2 linked regions of the Oreochromis niloticus genome follow. The protein of the gene in region 2 purifies or fractionates together with the protein of the main gene of each other region. This does not show direct contact. Links are inferred from orthologs where the notes say so. Each region holds a gene or a part of one and is shown on either strand. Other genes may lie near its edges.

Region 1 (7,741 bases), on a different chromosome or scaffold from region 2:
TACACAAGATATGGAAATATTGTTTGTTTTTCTGGAAAATTATCAGGAAATTACACATTAATTAAAATTACCTATGTCGTATTTAACATTGCATAGAGTCTAATTTTTGTCTCCTTTCCAGCACAATACACAGAAATCAGGCACTATTTGCGATTACTTTCCCACTACTTAAAACTACTTACAATGTAATTATTTCTTCTTTCCTGTAACATACAACTTCTTGTGCCCTACTTAATATTACTTTTACAGTACTTGAAATTGCTTATGTAATAAATTGTATCTTCCAGTTAAATACCCAAAGTCGTTAAATATTTAGAATTACTCACTTTCACACTACTTAAAATTACATACAGGTTTTTTTTTCATGTAAAAACCCAAATTGTTACCTCCCTATTGTACTGTAACTACCTGTAAGTATGTGTAGGTAAATACATTGTAACTTTAAATAAAATAGAGTGAAATTCAATTTAACCCTTTCATGCATGAATTATGACAACCTCAATCAGGAATTTTTTCTTAATTATTCACTTCATTTTCTTTAAACATGCATTATTCAAAGAGTTATTTACAAGTCCACTTAGGTGGACAACATACATTTTGACTTATGAATTTGGTATGGAGTGACACATCAGTGTCCATTGTAGTGGTTTATGTGCAAGTATACCATCAACACTGACACAAATACAAGAAAACAGGCTTTGAATAGCTGTCCACAGAAGTGACCACTATGCGTGAAAGGTTTAATTACAGGAGAAATACACCCTTAGTTGCAAGCGGTATTATAAAGTGTTACCAACACAGTATTGAGTTATTTATTCTTTCATTTATTATTGTATTAAACATATTCTTATTACTCTTTTTTTCAAGTAGTGTGACTGTTTGTTTGTCTCTATACACCAGGTTCAACAGTGCTTCCAAATGTTTTGTATGCTTGTGCTTACATAACAATAAGGGTCGTCTTATCTTATCTTATCTTATCTTAACTTATATTATCACATCTTATCTTATCTTATCCTGTCTTATCCTATCTTATCTTATCTTATCTTATCTTATCTTATAAAGTTAAATTCAAACCCAAGTGATTCTGAGACATTATCTTGTGTTCTTGAAAATTCATAGGGTTGTTTTTTAAACATTTTCTTTTTTACAAACACTGATAACCAACATTATAGCTGCAGCCTGTCAGTTTTACTGCCCAATTGCCCCAAAACAAGTTCCTTTTTCATCTATGTGATCTTTGTGATCATCACATAAAATGGGAAAGTAACCCCCCCATCCTTATCAGCTTACAGTCTTCCCTTTGTTCGCTTAAATGAAACATCATTTAAAAAAAACTGTATTAAAGTGAAATCTGAAAATGACATCAAAGTTTCTGTCATCACAAGTTAGAATTAAGAAAAAAGTCTTAAATGAGAAGCTAAGGCAGGCAGGAGGAGGGAATCCCCTTGCTGATCGGCTAGTTTCCTATCAGTGTTCCTGATGCTGACTCACTGACGCTGGTGTACAGCCTGGCTCCCTTAGGGGCTCCACGCTACCCACAATCCACAACCACGCAGCTGACACAGCTTAAGCTTCACACTGCTGATCGGTGGTTTCATCTCACCTCCCGGTCTTATCATCGTGGACGACACAGAGGAAAGGAAATGGTTCTTACTCGTGAAACCGAATCTTAAGTCACCTATTCCCTGACTCATTCACTGATGTGTTTGTGTGTAAGGGTGAGCAATGTGGAAGGGGATTCATTTTTGACACGAGGAAAATAAATCTCACATCAGTTTAGAACTTTTTTTATATAATGATGTTGAATGGGGATGTAATTAGTTTTGTATACTGCACTTTTCACTTTGTTCAGTTTGCAATTTTCTCCCTTTTTTGTCATGGATTTTGCTGCGATTCCTTAATAAATTGCTTTATTTTTTGTCTTTAAGTCTGTTCATTTTTATGTGTTCTCATTCAGGATACAGTTGTCTTTTCAGTCCTCTCACAGCGTCAGGGGGATTCTGCAGTTTATTTCTAAAGAATCATTAACAATAATTCATCTTTGAGAGTGAGCGAAAAGCTTTCTTGTGAATACTTAGCATGAAATTCTTGTGAGGTTTCTTCCACAGAAATCTATGAGGTAGGTTCAGCAGCTGGCGAAAATATCTACCAGACACTACATAGTCCGAAGAACTGTGTCGTGCCAGTGTGTTTCAGTGGATAGTACTTTGTCTATATAAAACAGGCTTGTCTTCAGGGGGTTAGTGGTTTGATTGCTGTCTTTTAAATGGTGGCTGTGTGTGTCTCCCAGGCAGTGGGTTATGTGGAGGCGTGTGCGTGACAGCCAACTTCGTATCTCATATTTCGAACTTTGAATGCTTACAGAACAGCTTTTTGGAAGTGTATGTAACTGTGTGGGAGGGGATTCATTTTTGAAATCCCACATCAGTTTAGAAGTTTTATTTATAATGATGTTGAATGGGGATGTCATTAGTTTTGTATACTGTACTTTTCACTTTGTTCGGTTTGCAATTTTTTCACTTTTTTTTGTTATTGATTTTGCTGCAAATCCTTAATAAATTCAGACTCAATCAGAATCAGAACACTTTAATAGTCCCTAAGGAAATTATGTAATTGTTTCATTTTGTTCTTTAAGTCTGTTCATTATTATGTGTTCTCATTCAGAATACACTGGTCTTTTCAATCCTGTCACAGCATCAGGGGGATTCTGCAGGTTCTTTCTAAAGAATCATTAACAATAATTCATCTTTGAGAGAGAGAGAAAACCTTTCTTGGGGATACTTAGCATGCAGATGTGGTGATTATCAATGTAGGTGTGATCTAAAGAGGATTTTTAAGTTTGTGTTCGGGTGAAATTCTAGTGAGGTTTCTTCCATAGAAATCTATGAGGTAGGTTCAGCAGCTGGGGAAAGTATCGGCCAGCATTGCTTCCTGTATAACTTCCTGTATTGCTGTTAACAGTTAGTAGAAGGCCAAGTATTTTGGCCACTTATCTATTAAACAACACACTTTTCTTCAAGACATACAGAAGATTAACTGTACTCAGCCACTGCAACTGACCACTGGTTACTGTTTGACAGATTTAGACATATATTTGTTCTGGTGTAAGATGATCAGACTAAGCCCATGAAATTTGTGAATTGATTGGTCACTAGTAATTGCAGAAGAGGATTTGAACTAGACTGATGGAAAAATCATTGATCAGTATGCTTTTTTTGTTTTATTTTGTTTTTTTGTTTTTTAAATCTTTCTGAATATGTTGTTAGTCAGAGGCAGCTTTTAGTTCATGAGGATCACCAATCTAAATCCAAGGCAGGACCCTTCTGTGACCCTCCCTGTGCTTGTGCGGGTTTATAGGAGCTCCAGTTTACTCCACTATCATGAACCATGGCAAGCTAATGCTAACTGATTCAGCTCAGGACAGTCTTGCAGAAGAGATTCCTAATATTAAGAGTCTGGTTTCCTGGTGAAAGATTATTAAGAAAAAAAAATCAAATACCCTCTAATTCAGAACAAGATTAAGAGTTTTCGTTTAAGCATTTTTACAGAGATTTAAGGACTTTGAGACTGCTTTTGTTTGACCTCTGAGTTGTATTCTATTACTCAGATACAGGGGTATTTCCAGGATTATTAATTTATGAATTTATTGATTTAAGTGGAGAAGAAGAATAAGGCTGGGGGTGTCCACAGGAACTTGGAATATCTAATGAGGAATAAATAGATTGTGAAAAACACTAGGCACAATTTTCTGGTTTCAGTGGAGCCCTATGTCATCATAGAGGTGGTGTTACATGAAAAGTGACACTAAGAAGTCCTTAAAGATAGTTTTGTTTAAATGACTATTTAGTGAAATTGGTGAAATTAGTATTTAGGCCTTTTATTTAAGTAATAGAACAAGTGTTTTAAGCTCAAACGATACTTACAGCTGAAGGAGATTTTAATTAGTTACAAACTGATAGGTAGTTTTATAATATTAACAATAAAAAATAATAAGTCACTGGAGGTTTAAAGATTATGGACTACAAAGTGCAATAATTGCACATAAAATAGAGTGGAGTGGAAGTACAAAGGTGTAAAAATAAAGTATAAGTACATTTACCCTGTACTTCAGCGACTACATATCCATATTCTAGCTCATTCAATGGCTTTGAGAATAGCTGCATTCTTAGTACTTTTATCAAATGTCAGTGGTGATAATTACTTTTTTTTTTTTAAACAAACGGTTAAGTACTAGCAATGCAATATTATACGCAGGACAAATATTTTGGGTCAGATTTACTGTGAAAACACACATACACATAAATGGTAATAATTAACAGCAGCTATCTCTGATACATAGATGGTAGTTTTAGCTTCCCTGTTTTAAATAAATATGTATCCATATATATGAATCTTTTTTTCTGAAGTAACACAAATTATGAGTGGAATTTATTATGACAGTCGAAATATCAGCAAATATCAGCAAAGTGAAATGAAATGAAATTATGAAATCTTTGCCTACCAACAGTTAAATGCTACTCTTAAACTAGACGCTCCTGGTTACTTGGCAACGCATAAACCTCATTGGCCAATCAGATACTTAGCTAGGCGCATTGGTACAATCTGACGCGGCCATTCTAAGATTATGTGATCTGCAGACGATGAAAACTAAGTTTTTTGGTAAATATTTAAAGTTAGTATTTTATTTTAACTATCCTCGCTGTATTGCTCACATTGTACTTTCTAAGTGTAAATGGCAAACTACATAGTCCGAGGAACTGTGTCGTGCCACGGCGGTGCATGTGTTTCGGAAAGGTAGTACTTCGGCTATATAACAGGCGTGTCTTCAGTGGCTTTGGTGGTTCAAACGCTGTCTTTTAAACGGCGACTGTGTCTCTCTCTCGGGCAGTGGATTATGTGGAGGCGTGTGCGTGACAGCCAACTTTACATCTCACATTTCGGGCTTTGAATGCTTACAGAACAGCCTTTTGGAAGTGTATGTATCTTTTAACACCCTCTTCAGTTTCTTACGCAAATCTGTGTTTTATTTTCGTAGTTGGGGAAAATAGTGCGTTTGATAAGTATGAATTGCTAAATTTAAAGTTTGCCGTGCTGTAGCCACGGTTCAAAAACGTGTCGCCGGTTGCGCTATTTTAACGTGAGACGTAGATACCTAAAAGTGTGTTGCTTGAGGATATTCCAACTTTGCATAACCGCTGAATTTACAAAGGGTTTTATGACCATATGGCTCGACACTAAGTTAACCGTAATACTATCTTGCTAGTGTAGTGATAAAGCATTCTTATCGTCAGTTTCAGAGCAGAGTTTGGTACGCGTTTTAAATGCTGTTAGCACTGAGCCTTATTTGCTGTACATAGAGTAAAAGTTGGTTTTGACCTCCGCACGGCTAAATTGACAAGTCAGCTGGAATAAATAACTGTTGTTTAAAATTTTGCCCAACGTGTGTCGCGGCGACTTTTGTCGCTCCACGTAGTGGTGAATAACTAGTAGTAGTACCGGTTGTTTATTCGGGAGACCCCCGGCTTTACTGGACTTGAAGCTAGCTCGGTGTTTGTCTCTCAGCGGTTCTGGAATAAAAGGCAGGCTTGCGCAGTGAGCTGTTCTAGAAACCTCACGGGCTCTGTCCTTTTACTGTGTGTCGCGTGCAGGTTGTCTCATGCTCGCGCTCTCCTGTGCTCGTGCTGAACGCTCCTGTTGCTGCTCCTGTTTCACGGCAAGAAAATGGTTCTTAATTACATTTAACTGCGTCCCCCCCCCCCCTTTTTAGACACACATTACTACAGCTAGACCAAATTTGGTAAAATTAAGAAACAGTAATTTTGTTTCTTTTAAAGAATATTGGCTAATATTGTCACATGGTAGACTTTATTTGGTATGTGTCACACTTGAGGGCTGTCACTAACATTTTTGTTTTTTCTGTCCTGCCTCCTTAGTCAATCTAAACTTTTTGAGAAGATGGATAACAAGGAGGTATCAAACAGTTGTCCCTTCAGCGACTTGACTTGGGAGCAGGTGAGCCGGCTCAATGAAGTTCTGACTGAGGTCGTGCCCATTCATGGACGGGGGCACTTTCCTACTTTGGAGGTGCAGCTGAATGATATTGTGGCTCGGGTGCGCTCCCGCCTTGAGCTCAGCGGCATTAAGGTGAAGGACGTACGGCTTAATGGCTCCACAGCCAGCCATGTGCTGGTGCAAGATATTGGCTGGAGCTACAAGGACCTGGACGTTATCTTCAGGGTGGACTTGCCACACGAGGCTGAGTTCAAGCTCATCAAGGATGTTGTGCTTGGTACCCTGCTGGACTTCCTGCCTGAGGGTGTGAACAAAGAGAAAATTACACCAATGACCCTCAAAGAGGCCTACGTGCAGAAGCTTGTCAAGGTGAACACAGAGCAGGACCGCTGGAGCCTCATCTCCCTCTCCAACAATAATGGCCGTAATGTGGAGCTGAAGTTTGTGGACTCAATACGTCGGCAGTTTGAGTTCAGTGTCGACTCTTTTCAGATTGTGCTGGACTCCATGCTCTCCTTCTATGAGGTGGAGCAGGCGCCCATGTCAGAGGCCTTTCACCCCACTGTTAGTGGGGAAAGCATGTATGGAGACTTCAACACTGCGCTGAGCCACCTGCGAAACAAGCTCATTGCCACCAAGCGGCCTGAGGAGATCCGAGGCGGTGGCCTGCTGAAGTACTGCAACCTGTTGGTGAGGGACTTCCAGCCCGCCAGCGAGGAGGAATTCAAGGGCCTGGAGCGATATATGTGCTCACGCTTCTTCATTGACTTTCCTGACATAGGAGAGCAGCAGCGTAAGGTGGAATCCTACCTCCAGAGCCACTTTGTTGGCGAGGAGAAGAGCAAGTACGACTACCTCACGATTCTCCGGCGAGTGGTTAACGAGAGCACGGTGTGCCTCATGGGTCACGAGCGGCGGCAGACCCTCCACCTCATCTCGCTGATGGCCCTCCAAGTCCTGGCGGAGCAGAACGCGATCCCCGACGCGTCCTGCGTCACCTGCTATTACCAGCCAGCGCCTTACGTCCGAGACCACAACTTCAGCAACTACTATGTGGCCAACCAGAACATTCCAACATGGCTGCCGTGTAACTGACGAGACAAACAACTTGGGATGAGCAAGATGGCGTCGCTACTGCTGCTGCATTTGAGAAGAGAAGGAATGAATTTAAAAAAAAAAAAAAAAAAAAAAAAAACATTAAAAAAAAATGTTGGGCAATAAATAATTTGTTCCTCTCAAGGCACAATTATATTTAAGTGGACAAGCGTTTTGCTTTTGTTTTCTCATTCCTTTACGACAGAGGTGTCTAGGTCATTGAATCGAAAGTGATATTTTTAAGTGTTTCGAATTTTTTTTTTTTTTTTTTTTTTTTTCTCTCCTCATGTTTGGTTGTTTCACTGTTTATCAATCCCATTCTTAATGGAGTTGCATTTTGTGCCTTAACCTCCAAGTTTACCCCATCAGTAATTTAAGTATGGGCTGTGATTTGGAGAAGGGAAAGAGGAGCTAATGCCGTAGCCTTACATTTGGTTTTCATCTTGATTTAAAAAAAAGAAAAAGGTTAGGAAAAAAAAGTTGGAAAAAATGCATAAAATATTGAAAAATAGTATTATTGTATTATTGGGGAAAGAGTAATAATAGCTGACTGCCAAAAAAGGGGAAAAAAAAAAAAAAAGCTCATCACCGGTGTTAAAGTTTACTGTGGAGGGAGAAAAGGTGGTACACTAAT
Region 2 (7,578 bases):
CTCGATCATATTTATTGTGCAATTTTTTTTTATATCACAAAATGGTGAAGTTGTCTTAATCCAATCTGTCTAAGCTGGCAAATTGCAAATTCATCGCTACACCAAAACAAACTAACTACACTTGAAACCAGGCTATAATAATTTGTGAGACTGTCTTTCTAAAATTATGACTGAAAAAAAAAAAAAATCAGCAGCAAGCACGCTCATGCTGGTGCAGCTCAATGTGATGTACGGCATAATTTAAAGTGAAATCCACCAAAATACAATTTAACGGTACAGTTGGCTGTTTCAAAACATCAAACAAATAAGCAAGGGTGGAAAGATTAGGCATGCACTGCACCTTTCCAAAGGCTCAGGCATTAAGCTCATGTGGCTAAAGATAGCCTCATTCTATCTGCTTATCCCTGTGCCTGTGCACCTCATATCAAGCAGAGAGCAAGAGGCCTGGAGCATTTTTATATCCACTTCAAAACAAGAACTACTCAAAAATCAATACAGCAAAATGAATGACATCTGTGCGTGCTGCAGGACAGCTTCATGTAAAGAAGAACAAGGAGGCAACCTTGCTTAAACTCCAAATGTTACCTCATCATTAACTGTGACATAGAGGGCTTCATTTGCGGCACTGCCAAATACACAAGCCTGCCGGATAAGCCGGAGTTCCTCAGGAGGAAGAAGTGCAAACACTGGCCACTTTCCCACGTCCAGCATACTACTCAGCTGTGAAAAAAAGAAAAAACATGGAGAAGAATATGAATCTAACTCACAATGGAATAAAAGAAAGGTTGATTAGATAAACTGAAAAACACAGATAAAAGCAGGAGTATGTTTTCATGTTAAATACTTTGATGGTCTGGTTATTAAACTGGATAATAGGAACTTTCTGCCCTGTATCATGGAATGCATACATATATGTTAAAGAACAGATTATTACATTTCCATCTTTATCATGCCTCGAGTGACCAGCAGCATTCAGATTTAGATGGGCAGACAGATTAAAACGTGTACATCTGTTCAATGACCTTTACTACCACAGAAAGTAAAGTCAAAATTATGTCATCTCTAAAGTCTAACATAATATTTCAAATATAACGGCTTCAATGATTGCACCATTACTCTCTATTATCAAACCACACAGCTGTCTATGGCTGTGTGATAAATGGAAAACTGCAATCAACAGTAAAACCTACTCGTCTGATCCTCTGTGCATCATTATTTGTAAGGCCTATAAAAGGTAATTATCTTGTATTGCTAACAATATATTTCGGTTCCGTTTTTATTCACAAAAACAAACAACCAACCAAACCTGTTTTTATTGCCGCGTCTGACAAATTTACAGTGTTGTTGCATTGTTTTGCATATCAAGTTGCACTTTCCATGAACCCAGACAACACCACCCTAAACACACACATACACCACCATGACCACCAGCTGCTGTTACTGCTGGTAAGATGTCCCACACGTCAAATCAGCAGACACCAAAGAAAACACAAAGCACCGCAAAACTAAGTGTGTTGGTTTTGATATATAAACTTCCAGCAATGAAACTACAACCTGAAGTTAACCCACAAAAACTATCAAGCTAATTAGCGTAAAGAGCGGTGTTGTTGCTGGTACCTCCAAGTGTTGACGTTACCTTCTAGCTAGTGCTTAGTCCGCGAGGTCGTTTTCTGATTAAAAAAAAAAAAAGATACTAAAACATGTCACCCAACATATTTTTCAAATAACTTTGCCGGGGACGTCATGCCGACAAACTGGTGTAGGTCTAGCTTCACGTTAGCTGCTATGGTTGCACTTTGTTGTAGCTAGCTTTAATCGCTACACCACCGCCTAAAAAACATACACACAACACCACACTTCCTGTAGTCACTTGGTGCGTTTACTGAAAATCGGACCTGGGAGCTTCAAGGTTAAATTGGTATTATACAGTAATTAGTGACAGACTGTTTAACATTTAAATGCTTTGTTAAGCAGTTTACAGCTTAACATAGAAAAAATAAAGGTTTCAAATTGCATCATAGTTATATTATCATTATTATTTTTACAATAGAAATACGATCTATTATGCAAGATTAAATAAATCAAATAGTCTTTAATTTGTGAAGTTACATTACTGGTCAATAGACTATAACGACCCAAGACTTTAAGTCGTTTGGGTTATAAGTTTAATGGAGAATATTTTTGCATGTTGTTTAAACATCTGTGGCATACATTGTATTTATTTATTTATTTAAGAAAAAAATATTTCACCCTACCTTTCAGGAGTTGTTGATATACCAATATTAATTTTGTGTGGAACTTTAGGAAACAATTGCTGGTGTGAAACAGATGTGGGTGATACATTTCTGGCTGAGTCATCCTGTACCATTGCAACTACAGGCATAGTTTCAGTATCAATAGAGAGGTAATCTCCTTTAAGTTAAAAAAAAAAAATAGAATGTAAACAGAATGCACCATAGTCACTTCCATGCTCCTGACACACAAAAATACGCTTGCCCACACACATAACATATGTGACCCTAACTGACCAATCACGGTCTTTGACCCATAAAAGGTGCATTTTGTTTAAGTTAGTATAAGCTTGTGTTATTGCGTGGTTTATTTTAATATCCCATCATTCTGTACTCTAAGACACAAAGGTTCTCCTAAGGACCCCCAATCCCCGCTCCAAAAATGTGATTCAATTAATAAAATGAGTATTAAATGCTGCAGCTGCCTGAAAAAAACAGATCATTTGAATCAGACATGTTACAGCAAGAGAGCACCCAAAAAAAGAAGTCCTCAGGGAGCTGAAAACCACTGCTTTAGAATTACTGCCTCCAGAAAAGTGATCCAACTGCATGATGATGCTGTTGTAAATTTGCTCCCTCTTCATTGTCCTCTTACATTTACTTCCTCATTATGTTTCTCATTACTTTGTATTATATTTTGTGTTCTGCTGCAGTCCTTGAGGTAGGTTTTTCATCGTGCATTTCTTCTCAAGTCTTAAAATGTATGCCCCTTCATCTTCAAGTGTGTGCAGGTGTTTGCATATAACTTTGCTGAGTGTGAACTTGTTGAGTATAGATTTGGACAACAAGTCTATGTGCATTTCTGAAACTCACTGCATCCCAAGTTACATGTCTTGTGTTATTACATTAAAAAAATAAAATAAAATAAATTCACGGTGTAAAATAAAATATGTGTTGTGTTCGCTGTTCACTCATGCCATAGAGGGTTAATGCATTTGCACTAGTGTTTATCATGTAACATATCTTTCACTAGATGTCGATGTAGGCATTATTTTTATACATTCTTTGCTATTTTGCCAATTAAATCCATCTGGTTTTATTCTTTCGTTCAGTCCCTGCAATTACACAACTATCTGCATATTTCACTGATTACTGTATAATCAGTCTGTCTTAAAGAGTCAAAGAAATTTATGGAAAGGTATCTTTTTTTAACCTTTATTTCATCAATTTGGGGGAAGATGACTCTCCACTGCATATTTCATTGAGAACTATAGCAGAAACAATGGGGCATTCCTTTATTAAGTCCAGCAGGTGGAGTCATTGATAACCATCTTGGTGTGTATCAGTGATGGGATCGCAAATGGTTTTACCAAAGATTTAAAGACCGCCTATGCAAGAAGGGTGAGTGTGTACATTGTTACTGCAACAATTATACGCATTTGATATATAGTATAGTGATGTTTCATATGTAGGTAGCTACATTAGGACTAGGTTGTGTATGATACATTGTCTGTGATGTTTGTTTAAGTGTCTGTCTGAGACTTAATATTCAGAAAGGACTAGCACATGAAAGAAAGTTTCAGATAGATAGATAGATAAATAGATACTTTTTAATTAGATCAAATTTGGAAGGCACATGAATGAAGGGAATATTGCAGTTTCCAGGCAACATGAATTTCTAATGGTGTAAATTTCAAGTAGAAAACAAACCAGGGGGCAAAAAATCAATAAAACAGAAAGAACACAAAACAATCAGAAAAACGACTATCTCTTTGATATATACCAGTGTATATTCAAAACAAGCTTTCAGGAGTACAGAAATAATATTAAAATATCTTTGTGTTCAATCAAAACGTATAACAAACCCAACACTGCACGGTTTACAAGAACCAGTGATCCACACTTACTTTCTGCTAAAAGCGATATTGTATTTCAATTTGTCTGTGTGTGTCTTGTGTAGGTTTGACAACACCGTTCAGTGTGTAAATTTGAAAGGGTTGTTTTTTCTCTCTCCATACATTCAGTATTGTCTCTCTGGCGTGTAAAATACTGCAGTTCAATCATGCTTGGTAATTTTTAGTACAACTGTGTTCTTCTGGTTACAAACCAGGTAGAAGTAGCAGTGTAGTCTTATATGGAGAACAGCAAGGTGGTCCCTGGACTGACCACGTAGCATTCTTAGATTCCCCCCCGACTGACTTGGTTGGACGAACCGATCACAGACACGTCAACCGTAAGGTCTTTCTTAAAGTGATGGAAAAAAAATAGGTAGGCAAATGAAGTTCATCATAACAGCACCGGATACTGACCGGGTTCACAACAAGAACAAAATTAAATATAGTAACATTATTTAGCGTTTATCTTTGCTATGTTGTAAATTAGGATTCGTGATGAATTGCTCGAATACGCATGCGCACTAAGTGGTGTAAGCGATGGCGACATTCCTGCTTTTTATGCGAGGAACAGGGTTGGATGGAAAGTTATCTCGATAAAACTGAGGGTTAGACAGACGTTATCGATACTTTGCATCGTCACAGTCGCTCGCTAGCTACTTCGACCGTTTTGAGGTGCTGTTAACGCGAGCCTGCGTCGTTCATGAGAAGACCGCATACTATCTTGCTAACTGTTAGCTAGGTAGCTTACGCTAGTATGTCACACTTTGCCTTGTCTTGTGTTTGTCTGGGTAGCTAGCAAGTTATCATCAGCTTCAGGTTCTACAGAAAGTTGCTGGTCATCCAAGCTTGCTGACGTTAAACATTTCGGGGAAGAGCTTCATAAGACTCATCACTGTGCATCGGCTTGTTGAGCAAGACTGCTGCTGTGCCAACTGACTGGGTGAGTAACGTTAGCTGCGCTTTTGGCAATAAGTCTTGTTTTGCTACAGCGAACAACATATTGACGCTATCATTTTAAGGAAGTCGAACTAACCTGTAAGGTTATTGTTTGCCAGTACGTTGGCTGCAGTTAGATAACTGTTAGCTATGATATAACGCTAAGCACACACACCTGTAGCCAAAGTAAACAGTCTCGGGTGCGAGGTAGTTAGTTGTTAAAGGAGCTAAAAATTACCAACGAAAAGCCCTATCTCTGAACATATTTATTGCTGATACTGTGACATATAATAGAAGGAGCTCGTGCGTGTAGTTGACAGGCCAGGTAATGTTAAACGAGTGTCAACGACGTCAAATACTTTCAGTCAAAGGATGACCAGCTGTTACCCCGTGTGCAGATGTCTGGTACGAAAATATGTCTAAGTGCTACAGTTAAATTTACGCATTACAGCTGAGCAAAAACTAGAGCGTGACCTGCTATTAAACAACGACAAGAATTATCATTACCACAATTTTGTGTGGCTGATAATTAAACTGAAAAGCTAGTTCAAATCTTCAAGGTGTTTTCCCGTTTTCTCCAAAACTGCAACTGAAAAACAGCTGGTGTGTCCTTGTCAACTGCTCTGTAGCCACAAACAAATGTGAGGCACAATCAGGGCAACAACAGATGTAACATCTGTTATCTGTTGTTATTTCGATACAGATTTCAGCACAACTATAACAGGAGTTACAGCTGTTTTCTAGTCGTAGGTGGTGACTACTGATAGGCTATAGTTCTGAAAGTTTCAGATAACTTTGTTACAGAAAGAGGAGCAAAAAGACAGAAGTATATACATCTGTTCATATGTTACTGCTGTCACTGCATCTGTTTAATAATCACAATCTTAATGTTCCACTTACCACCATCAAATTTGGAAAATGTGTAATGAACTTTCAGATCATCTTTTCCCATATGAGGGGAAAAAAAGAAAGAATTTTTGACTTTAACTGCGTAAGTGGTGGGTGGTCAGAGGAAATATAAAGAATTGCCTGTCATTAGGGATTTCCCTTAGTTGCTTCTCATTTTACTGACCTCCAGGTAGCTGTTGTCACTGTGGTTTTGGCACGTAATTTACAACTAGAATAAAATTACCAGACAACCTACCAGCTGATTGCAGTAAATGGCTTGGAGGCCTCAAGGCCACACAAGTCTGGCATTCATCTAAAGCCTGCTAGTGTTACAAAAATTAACCACATGGCAATCCCTCATGGCTGTATAAATGGTTCTGCAGGCCTAGTTCATTGACCATCACACTGTAAACTGACTTTGTTTGGGCTTAAGGAGGGGAGGGACTAAAGCGAACAGATAAGCCAGATCACAGTGAGGTTTAGGCACGCATGCGCCAGAGAGTAATTAAGTTCAAGGACACGTTACATTTCTTTCATGGTGTTCTGTTGCTTTTCACGGGAATTTTATTAGCCATGTAACAATTGTATACATTTTATTTACAGTTGGTAAGTCCTCAGTGTATAACTTTGGTATTTTACTCCCGTGTCAGTGGAGTGTTGAATAAAAAACATTTTTGTTTAGTTTGTTTGTTCTGTATTGTTTTGTTGTTTTCCCTAGAAATTCTGACATGGTCTAACTTAATTATGCAATTTTTAATTGTTAGAGTTTAGTAATCAATCACTGAATGGTCAGCTTTTAGGTATATTTGTTATGGAAGGGGTTTGTGAGAAGATGTTTGCCAGTGCAGTATACTGGAGGAGACAGATGAGAAGGGAATCTTTGAAAGAACAGATTAATGTTTTTTCTCTATGCCATCATCCAGTTTCTTTTTCCTCTCTCGTAGTCACTGTGTAAACCCTTTACAACCCTGGTCTTATCTGAATGCTGATATCTGTCACATGATAAGTCACGTCCAAAACATTATACCATTGTCCTTTCTTCTCACATTGTGATGCAAATGATTTTAAATTCAATCATAGGCGCATTAGGTTTGTTTTGAATTCGCCTCTTTCATTCTTTTCTTAACTAGTTAAGGTATTTAACGTCTGAGAAAAAATGGCATGTGACACATGTAACCACTTTTTAGTATCACTTTGATTCATTTCTGGTATTGATTCAACTTGGCTTACGTGACGGCCTCAGAATGTACCTGGTACAGTTTTTTATTTTTTTGCTTTGTGTTGACAAACTATGTGTTATATACCGCTTTTGCAAATATTTGCCTGTTATAGCCAATGGTTCAAGGATGACTATGACCAATAGCTGGAAGCAAGTTACAGTAAGATATTTTGACAACTTACTACAAAGTTTTCTTAACCCCTCCTTCTTTATAAAACTGAAGTTGAACCATAGAACTCCATTTGCCCTCAAATGCCAATAATAAGCTTATCCACAGTCCTTGAGAGAAGTCCAGTTGATGGTCTTTAGTGACACAGCATGATGCATATTTTTCATCTAATTTTGAAATATTTTAACTTGCGTGAATTAGGACTCCTGTCTGTTCGTGTCACCCAGCACAGATTTGTTT

The links.
Region 1: the proteins of fndc3a (region 2) and tent5c purify together in Homo sapiens (affinity purification with western blotting; 3 studies listed by BioGRID, with this or other methods). This does not show direct contact. The link is inferred for Oreochromis niloticus from reciprocal best matches to the Homo sapiens genes FNDC3A and TENT5C.

What each region holds. Positions count from the first base shown.
Region 1 is NC_031987.2:28,029,079-28,036,819, reverse strand, and holds the start of tent5c (terminal nucleotidyltransferase 5C), read left to right. Parts: upstream 1-4,672; 5' UTR 4,673-4,732; coding exon 4,733-4,794; intron 4,795-4,888; coding exon 4,889-4,975; intron 4,976-5,933; coding exon 5,934-7,107; 3' UTR 7,108-7,741. UniProt on the Homo sapiens protein: Catalyzes the transfer of one adenosine molecule from an ATP to an mRNA poly(A) tail bearing a 3'-OH terminal group and enhances mRNA stability and gene expression.
Region 2 is NC_031979.2:31,779,808-31,787,385, forward strand, and holds the start of fndc3a (fibronectin type-III domain-containing protein 3A), read left to right. Parts: upstream 1-4,562; 5' UTR 4,563-5,066; intron 5,067-7,578. Other genes in the region: rcbtb2 (RCC1 and BTB domain-containing protein 2), read right to left, coding at 586-711. UniProt on the Homo sapiens protein: Mediates spermatid-Sertoli adhesion during spermatogenesis.